Callithrix jacchus: one gene and its partner. The protein of the gene in region 2 binds, or shares a complex with, the protein of the main gene of each other region. Links are inferred from orthologs where the notes say so. Each region holds a gene or a part of one and is shown on either strand. Other genes may lie near its edges.

Region 1 (5,418 bases), on a different chromosome or scaffold from region 2:
TGCTACTATCTTCTTGAATAGCTGGTGTGAAAGCATCATTTTCAAAAGAAAGTAAGTTTCAACAGTGCCTCCTCCCAACACTTACCTGATATAGTCCCCAATCTCTCTCTTCAGAGGATTTGAACCACATGCAAGAGGTGTATAGTGAGTTGTCCTTACATTCAGCTTATCAAAATTCTAGAAAGTGACGACACAACACAAAACAAAGTAACATGTCACGAACACATGTAAAACGAGTCAGCAGCACTATGCGGCCCACAAATTGGCATAGGTCGGCAAGACGGAGTAAGTACAAAAACTGAGAACTAATTGTTTACAAACTTAGCAATCTAATATTGTGGTGGTGACATATGTTGTATTCTACAACAGTGTTGAGTGTATTGCAATTTGTTTTAAACTTGGTTCTTCATTTCAGATACCTTAAGGAACCCTGCTTTAAACACTATCAGTTGTTTAACACTTGGAAATAACATAAAAGCAGACATTCACCTGATGCCTGATCTTAACCACATACCTTTAGCAAAAGGGGCCACTGAGACGTGTCCAACTTAGCAACTTTGGATTCAGGTTTGATAAGAAATTCTTCAACGTGTTGTATTTCCTTCCACAGAAGAGAAATATAACCTATTAGACTTCCCACCCGATTTTGAATAATTCCATTGCTACCACGGAAATGTGTGCCTTTTAAATAGAAAGTAAGGCTTTCTATGCCTTTTCAGTGGGACCTCCAGGGGAAAGAGAAGAAATGAACCAGGAGTACAGAGGGGAAGTGAAATGCCACTAAGATGGGTCCAAAAATTTAAAGAGAAAGGGGGATAGTGGGTCTGTGGGTGGGATAAGGAAGAGAAATTCAGAGACAGCAGTTGGGAAGCCCAGCACCATTTAGTAAGCTATGCCTGAAGGAGACTTGGACTGTCTGGGGCTGTCATATCAGTACTTTTTCAAATCTACACAATGACCACCAATCCTGGCCCATTCTTGGAAACCTTTAAAACACTTCTTTCCTTTAGTTTGTTATTTAAGTAAACCTTCTTTTTAGTCAAAGTGAAGTCAAACACATTACTACTCACGGCTACATCTTCTTCTGGCAATGACTTCCGCTCCTTTTTCTTCTTATGTTTCTTTGGTAAAATAATCACTAAAAAAAAAAACAAACACAGGATTTGAGAATTTTCCCCAAGAATAAATGAGCATGAGTTTAAAATAAAAACCAAAATTAGGGGTAGGAAATGGATCTTAGGTCTACAATTACAGTCACATGCCACATAATGTTTTGTTCAAGGACAGACTGCAAATGTGACGGTGGCCTCCATAAGATTATAACAGAGCTGAAAAATTCCTGTCTCCTAGTGATGTCTTAATGATCCTGACCTGTGTACGTCAAGGCTACTGTGTGTGTTTGTGTCTTATTTAACAAAAAAAAAAAATGTAAAAACAAAAAAAAAGTAGAAGAGTTATAAATAAGGATATAAACAGAGAAAATAATTATGTACAACTGAATAATGTGTTTAAGCTAGGTGTTATTACAAGGGTTGAAGGAAATAGTTTATAAAGTTACAGTAAGCTAAGGCTGATTTATTCTGAAGAAAAATATATTTTTATAGAGGAGGGACAGCGGGGGGTGGGGAGTTGGGGAGAGATAGCATGGGGAGAAATGCCAGATATAGGTGAAGGGGAGGAAGGAAGCAAATCACACTACCACGTGTGTACCTATGCAACAATCTTGCATGTTCTTCACATGTACCCCAAAACCTAAAATGCAATAAAAAAAAAGAAAAATATATTTTTATAAATTTAGTGTAGCCTAAGTGTACAGACTTTATAAAGTCTCCAGTAGTGTAATGTCTGAGGCCTTCACATTCAGTCACTGACTCAACCAAAGCAACTTCCAGCCCAGCAAGCTCCATTTATGGCAAGTGCTCTCCTCTACGGGTGCACCACTTTTAACCTTGTGTACTATATATGCATACACATTTGAGATGCAGTTTCACTCTTGTTGCCCAGGCTGGAGTGCAGTGGTACAATCTTGGCTCACTGTAACCTGTCTCCCAGGTTCCAACGACTCTCCTGCCTCAGCCTCCCCAAGTAGCAGGGATTACAGGCATACGCCACCATGCCCAACTAACGTTTGTATTTTTAGTAGAGACAGGGTTTCACAATGCTGGCCAGGCTGGTGTCGAACTCCTGACCTCAGGTGATCGGCCTGCCTAGGGCTCCCAAAGTACTGGGATTACAGGCATGAGCCACCATGCCCAGCCCTGTACTATATTTTTACTGTCCTTTTTCCGCTTAGACATGTTTAAATACACATCGTCTCGACACTGTGCTCCAACTGCCTATAACATTCCCCACAGTACCATGCCGTGCAGGTTTGGAGCCTAGAGCAATAGGCTCACCATATACAGCCAGGTGTGTAGTGGCCTATGCCATCTCGGTTTGTGTAAGAGCACTCCGACGTTCCCACAACGATGAAATTGCCTAACGACCCATTTCTCAGAAAGTATATCCGTAGGTCAGCGAGAAAACAAAGTGTGTAAGGCCAAATATATGGGTCGCATGGCTGGGTAACTGCCTTCCGGTTCACCACGTGGCTATGGCAGGGCTTAAACATCCCACAGAAGCGCTCACGCAGGGGACCCGACAGTTCCATAAGCGACCACTCGACTCTCCCCGCCAGCTTGTGGCCTCTAGAAGTTTCTTGCAACTCGGAGCTATGTCTGCTCACGGGTCCCCCGGCTCCTTTTCTTCTCGGCCCGTTTCCACCACCCTTGCTCCCATCGTCGCATGGAGCTATACTGGCGGCGTCCGGGCTAGCAGCAGCACAAACGCTGCCACGTCCCCCGCCACCACGGGGTGGGCAGCACGACAGATGTCTTACGACGAAAACCCGGACCCCAGGGAGGCTTGTCATCGGTGAGAGGCCCGAGCCCCGCCATACCAAGTCACCGCGAGGGACTCCCACTCCCGCCGTCGCCATCGAGCCAGGGCCGAGCGACAAGGCCGGTCGGCTAAGAGGCCGACGCGCCGGCGGGAATCAGAGGGAGGTGGGCGCGGGCCCGTATACCATCCCCCATTCCCGGCTCCCCGAGTCGCCTGGAGTTAGCATAGTCCGGACGCCTGCAGCCCTTACCTTCCGCATCCGCCATGTTACCCTGCACCGCGTGCGTACCGCCTGGTCCACGGCCCGCAGAACTACCGCAGACTCCCGCCGCCACAGTCCAGTGAGGCCGCGCTGCTAGGCCTGCCCCTCCGCGCACAACCCTGTGCGTGCCTCGCCGCGGAGCGGGAGGGGGCGGGGCCTTTCCCGGGGCGACCCGAGGCGCTCGGGCGCGCGGATCTTCCGCGCAATGCGATTGGCTGGCTCAGCCAGGGTCGCGCCACCGCGCCTGCGCCTCGAGCCTCTACCAGCCCGATTAGCCCCGGCTGGAAGCGCTAGTGCCGCCCTCCCCGGCAGCCCGGAGTCTGTGGGCGTGTCCCCAGCTGTCGTTGGTTTACCTCCGGGTTTACCTCCGCGCCTGCGCCTGGGCTCACGGCTGAGCGCTGCGTAGTCGGTAGCTCTTTGCTTTCTGACACTGACTCTCTCAGCTTGGTGTCGGATTAGTCCTGATTCAAAAGTGAACATGTTGAGGCTCGGAGAGATTGAAAGCCTTTTGCTGCTTGCAGTTCCCATCCAGCTAGAGCGGATGGCCACTAGGAGCAGAGCATGAGCCACATGTTGACTTTTTCTAGCAGCTACATGGAAGAAGAGTGAAAAGAAAAGGGTGAAATTGATTTTAATAATGAATTTTTTTAACCCAGCGTATCCGAAATATTATCATTTCCGCATATAGGCAAAACACAACTGCATGAATGGGATATTTTGCTTTTTTTTTTTTTTTTTTTGGTCCCCACAAGGTCTTTCCGGTGTGTGTGTGTTTACTGTCACAGCACACCTCAATTGGAACTCTACGACCAGGCTTCACGCCAAACAGCAGAGACAAAGCACTGGCACTAAATCTCATAGAAACAGGATGAGCCTGGGTATCATGATAGGCAGCAAGGCTGGAAGCTGGAACCAAACTGATTTCTCCCCAGGGATCTTTGGTGCTGTCTAATTGATCGTGGTGTCCTATAGTAAGCCATCATGATCTGTATAACCCCTGTAACGCTAGATCTGGCTAAAGGCATCCTGTCTTGAATCACCACAATGGAAAATCATGGTGCCTCATCTAATTCCCAGATCTAGACAGTCCACAGGCCAGAGCCTGTGAGGTAAGCCTGTAAAAGTGAGGCCAGGCACATGTGTGTAGTTTAAGCCTGCCTCCTACTTTACCCTGGGACCCATGGACATTTACCAGAGACTTGCACAAGCTCGTGTTAATCCCTGGGGAAGTAGAATGCCACTGTCAGAAGTGGAGTCAGCCCATGTCCCTTTCACTCTCAGCCACCCTGTGGCTCTCTCCCCACTTCTTGAATCCATACTTAGAATAAACACAATTGGTGGCTGGAAAAATTCCCACAGGGGCTTCCTGACTCAAGGACTGAGGGTGATAAATGAAGGAAAGATCAAAGGAAGCCTCTGCACATTATCATAATTGAGTCCCTGGGAACTGATTTGATCATCTCACTGTACCCCCAGACATCATGTTGATGCATAGGAAGTGGCAAATGTCTCACCACAAGGTGAGAGATAAGCCCCTTGAAAATTCAGGGAGGTGACACCTCAGTGAACTTTCTGGGCATCCAGTGGGCTGAGACATGTTGAGATGGTCCCTCCAAAGAGAAAGACAGGTTGCCTTACCTGGAACCCTCTGCTTGCTAAAAAAGAAGCACAATACTCAGTGGGCCATTTTCTGGAGATGGCATAACCTATTAGTATGCTACACAGAGCCTTTTCCACGCCTTAGTAAGAGACTCACAGTTCAGCCCTCTGGAATTTGAAATAAACTTAAAGCTCAGCCCTCTACACACAAAAGTATAATAATTTACCAGGAGCAAAAGCTCCTGGCTTGCTGTAGTTATTTACTGAAACAGAATGACTGTGATATATGTGGTCCTAAGACCTGAGCTGCCCATCATAAACTGGGTGTTGTCTGACCAAACCATAATGTTGGTCATGTGCAACAGCACTCCATCATCAAGTACAATGATGCAGCCAATTTAGAAAGCGGTCTGGCATGGGCCGGGTGCGGTAGCTCACACCTGTAATCCCAGCACTTTGGGAGGCTGAAGCAGGTGGATCATGAGATCAGCAGTTCAAGACTAGCCTGGCCAAGATGGTGAAACCCTGTCTCTACCAAAAACACAAAAATTAGCCGGGCATGGTGGTGGGTGCCTGTAATCCCAGCTACTTGAAAGGCTGAGGGAAAGAAGTGCTTGAACCCAGGAGGTGGAGGTTGCAGTAACCGAGATTGCACCACCACTGCACTCCAGCCTGGG
Region 2 (4,742 bases):
AGAAAAAGCGGGAAGAAAAGGTCCAGGCAGGTTTTCACTCGTATTTCTCCCCAGAGCGAAACCTGAGGACACGTCTCCACCTCTGCATCCCCAGCCTGGCACTGCTTTGGGGGGCTAAGCCCCATACTCCAGCATGCTCATGATCATTGGGTGGGAACCCAAGCCCAGGGCCCCTTGTACCCCGGCTGAACCCCAAGGCCCCGGCCGCCCTGGGAGGAGAGTGTCCGGGGGCAGCGAGGCTTGTGTAGGCCTTCCCATCTCTTGTGGAGCTGGCACAGGCCAGGCTAGAGTCCTGGGGGGTGCCAGGGGCGTCAGGAAGGTACCACCAGCATCCCTCTCCTCCCAAACCCAGCCTGCAGGCTCTGAGGCCCAGCCCTGTGACAGGACAGGGGCACTCGTGCTGGATGGGAGGACCCTGAACACAGAACTCACCACACCAGCACCTGAGGGTGCAAGGACAATGGTGAGCTTCATGCCCAGCAGAGGGAGGGGGAGGCTGAGGGCCACACACACAGCACAGACACACACGTGCACACACCATAATCACGCATGTCAGTAATACACCACACACCACAAACACGCATGTAATATACCACACACGTGCACACGTTGTAAACACACATGTCAGTAATACACCATACACCACAAACATGTCAGTAATATACCACACACACGTGCACACACCGTAAACATGCATGTCAGTAATACACAACACACATGCACACATCATAAACACGCATGTCAGTAATACACCACACACCACAAACATGCATGATAGTAATATACCACATACACCTGACACACCGCAAACATGCATGTCAGTGACACCACATACACGTGCAGACACCACAAACATGCACACACTGCACGTGCACACACTGCAAACATGCATGTCAGTAATATACCACACACCACAAACACGCATGTAATATACCACATACACCTGACACACTGCAAACACGCATGTCAGTGACACACCACAGACACAGACACTGCAAACACACATGTAACACACCACACACCACAGACACAGAGCACTCACACACACGTGTCAGGGACACACACCACACATGTACATCACAGACACGCGTCATACACCACAAACATGCACATCAGTGACACAAGACACACATATGCACACACCACAAACATGCATGTCAGTAATATACTACACAGCACACAGCATGCACACACACGTGTCACAGACATGCCACACATGTAATCACAGGCGCACGTGTCACACACCGCAAACATGCACGTCAGTAATACGCCACACACTCCACAGACATATAGCATGCATACGCATGTGTAGCAGACACACACACCACACATGTATATTACAGACATGTCGGACACACACTTCAAACATGCATGTCAGTGACACATCACACACATGCACACAGCATAAACATACACATCAGTCACACAACACAACAGGGACAGGCACGCGTCACAGACATACACACACCACAAATATGTACATCACAGACATACATATGTACGTCACACACACACGGCAAACATGCATGTCAGTGACATACCACACACATGCATACATGCACACATACCAGAAACATGCGTATCAGAGACCCGCACACACAGCATGGACACGCATGTCAGACACACCGCAAACATGCATGTCAGGGACGCACCACAAGCACACATGCAAACACATGGCAAACATGCACATCAGAGATACACACCACAGACACACATACCAGACACACTGCAAACATGCACGTCAGTGACACACCACAAGCACACATGCAAACACATAGCAAACATGCACATCGGAGACACACACCACAGACACACAATGGGCACACACATGCCACAGACACACTTGTGCCATGGACACACACACACCACACACATCACGGACGTGTAAATCATGGAAGTACCTTACAGAAACACATCACAGACAACTGCATCCTAGACACATCCATATCCCAGAGACACACACATCTGGACACACTGTATCACACAGGAGCCTTACATGGCTCTTGAAGGCCTTGCGGACGTGCCCGTGGGCGGCCTTCTGGAGCACAGCGTACTGCCGCACGCAGTATGTGGCCTGCGGCCTGATGATGCTGGCGATGACCTCCGCGAGCTTGTCCTGGGGGATGGTGTCGTATGCGCCTGTCACGTCCACCTATGTGAGAAAGGAGGCTGATGGTATCCACTCAGTGACGCAGACGACACCTCTGCTCCCAGGTCCTGGCTGTGGCTGCATCCCCCTCTCTCTCTCTGGCCCCCACCCCTCCCGACCCCAAGGGCAAGGTGGGCTGTCTCCTCTCTGAGCCTCAGGACAGGAGGCCCCTGGCTCAGGACTGGGGTTCGAGGCACCAGGGCCTGGTGGCTGAGCCAGTACAGTCCCTTCCCTGATGGTATCTGGTGAGACCTCCCCTGGGAGCAGGAGCCCTAGGGCAGTTGGGGTACAAGGCCTCCACCCCAGGAGCCGATGTGTCCCCAACAGTGACTGCACTCCCTGCGGCCCACCCAGGAGTACCTCCTCCAGCCAACACAGGTGCGAATCAGGCGGCCACTCCCGAGGCCCAGCAGGGCTGCCGACGGGGTTCCCCAGCACTCACCTTGACAAAGTACAGCTCAGGTGGTGGGTCCCGGGCCCGCATGCGCAGCACAAAGTCGCGCCAGGCCCTGTGGATATCGTCCAAGCCCAACACGGAGGCGCCCAGGAGGCTGGGCCGCCGCGCACGCTCATAGTTTAGCAGGCTGAACAGCACCTTCACTCTCGAGGTGGGATGCTCGGCCTGGCAGGGCAGCATGGAGATGGTCAGGAAAGCGGACCCGGCTGGTGCCCTGCCCACCAGAGGGACCCGGGGGAGAGGCAGCCCCACCCCAGCGTCCCCAGCCGCCCAGACCCAGGGCCTTAAACCCCTCACAGCTTCCCAGGCCCCGTCTGAAATGTGCTGCGGGCCCCATGTGTGTTCCACATGGGACCCTCACATGACCCCTCTCTGCCCAGCTCACCCCACACTGAGGGGGTCACTGCAGCCACAGCAGCACAGGGGTGGGTACAGGAGCTGGGGGGCGAGGTCCCAGGGTTCCCAGTGCCCGGTGGGCTCTGGCAGTTGTGGCTTGGTCCCTGGGCCCCACACACACAGAAACACCACAGCAGGACACGGATCTGGGACCTCAGGCCCCACTGCATCTAGGCCCAGGCCCAGGGGCTCCCTGTGGTCCTCAGCCCGTCCCTGCCCCAGGAGCACCCCCTGTGCTGCTTTTCTGACCTCGGCCACCTCACTGTGCCCACCAACGGGCTTGGGCCGAGCTGTGGACCTGGCTGTGACCTGTGGCCCATCCTCCCACCCTTCATCTAAGCAGATACCGAACACGGGGTTCAGACGCATTTCTGTTTAAAAAGGAAACTAAACCAAAGGACGGTCACCCTCTTTTCTCTGCGGAACGTTCTGGCTCCCACGACGTAGTCCATGTTCACAATAGGCCGCAGCCCGTCAGGCTTGGGGATGAAGCGGAGCCTGGATGTCGGCAGAGCTAGCCTGGCTTCCTGCCGCCGCCTGACCTCCGTGTCTGACAGCTCCCGAAGCTGCACCCTCTGCAAGTGCTGTCTGCAACAGAGAGTGGGATGCAGGGTGCTGCGCTCAGTGATGGAGCCACGGACACACCGGGATGCAGGGTCCTGCTCTCAGTGATGGTGTCACTGACACACCGGGATGCAGGGTCCTGCTGTCAGTGACAGTGTCACTGACACACCGGGATGCAGGTCTTGCTCTCAGTGACGGTGCCACGGACACACCGGGATGCAGGGTCCTGCTCTCAGTGATGGTGTCACTGACACACCGGGATGCAGGGTCCTGCTCTCAGTGACGGTGTCACTGACACACCGGGATGCAGGGTCCTGCTCTCAGTGACGGTGCCACTGACACACCGGGATGCAGGATGCTGCGCTCAGTGACGGAGCCACGGACACACTGGGATGCAGGGTCCTGCTCTCAGTGACGGTGTCACTGACACACCGGGATGCAGGGTCCTGCTCTCAGTGACGGTGCCACAGACACACCGGGATGCAGGGTCCTGCTCTCAGTGACGGTGCCACGGACACACCGGGATGCAGGGTCCTGCGCTCAGTGACGGTGCCACGGACACACTGGGATGCAGGGTCCTGCTCTCAGTGACGGTGTCACTGACACACTGGGATGCAGGGTCCTGCTCTCAGTGACGGTGTCACTGACACACCGGGATGCAGGGTGCTGCGCTCAGTGACGGTGCCACGGACACACCGGGATGCAGGTCCTGCTCTCAGTGACGGTGCCACGGACACACCGGGATGCAGGTCCTGCTCTCAGTGACGGTGCCACTGACACACCGGGATGCAGGGTGCTGCGCTCAGTGACGGTGCCACGGACACACCGGGATGCAGGTCCTGCGCTCAGTGACGGTGCCACTGACACACCGGGATGCAGGTCCTGCGCTCAGTGACGGTGCCACTGACACACCGGGATGCAGGTCCTGCGCTCAGTGACGGTGCCACTGACACACCGGGATGCAGGGTGCTGCGCTCAGTGACGGTGCCACTGACACACCGGGATGCAGGGTCCTGCGCTCAGTGACGGTGTCACTGACACACCGGGATGCAGGGTGCTGCGCTCAGTGATGGTGTCACTGACACACCGGGATGCAGGGTCCTGCGCTCAGTGAGGGTGTCAATGACACACCGGGATGCAGGTCCTGCTCTCAGTGACGGTGTCCTGGTGTGGCGC

What was found. Proteins that work in one complex are often made in the same cells at the same time.
Region 1: TERT (region 2) and DKC1 share a complex: the UniProt entries of both Homo sapiens proteins name them as parts of the telomerase holoenzyme complex. The link is inferred for Callithrix jacchus from reciprocal best matches to the Homo sapiens genes TERT and DKC1.

What each region holds. Positions count from the first base shown.
Region 1 is NC_133524.1:150,505,395-150,510,812, reverse strand, and holds the start of DKC1 (H/ACA ribonucleoprotein complex subunit DKC1), read right to left. Parts: upstream 3,278-5,418; 5' UTR 3,147-3,277; coding exon 3,131-3,146; intron 1,139-3,130; coding exon 1,071-1,138; intron 602-1,070; coding exon 515-601; intron 178-514; coding exon 86-177; intron 1-85.
Region 2 is NC_133503.1:204,807,226-204,811,967, reverse strand, and holds part of TERT (telomerase reverse transcriptase), read right to left. Parts: intron 3,591-4,742; coding exon 3,410-3,590; intron 2,772-3,409; coding exon 2,592-2,771; intron 2,153-2,591; coding exon 1,997-2,152; intron 1-1,996. UniProt on the Homo sapiens protein: Telomerase is a ribonucleoprotein enzyme essential for the replication of chromosome termini in most eukaryotes. Active in progenitor and cancer cells. Inactive, or very low activity, in normal somatic cells.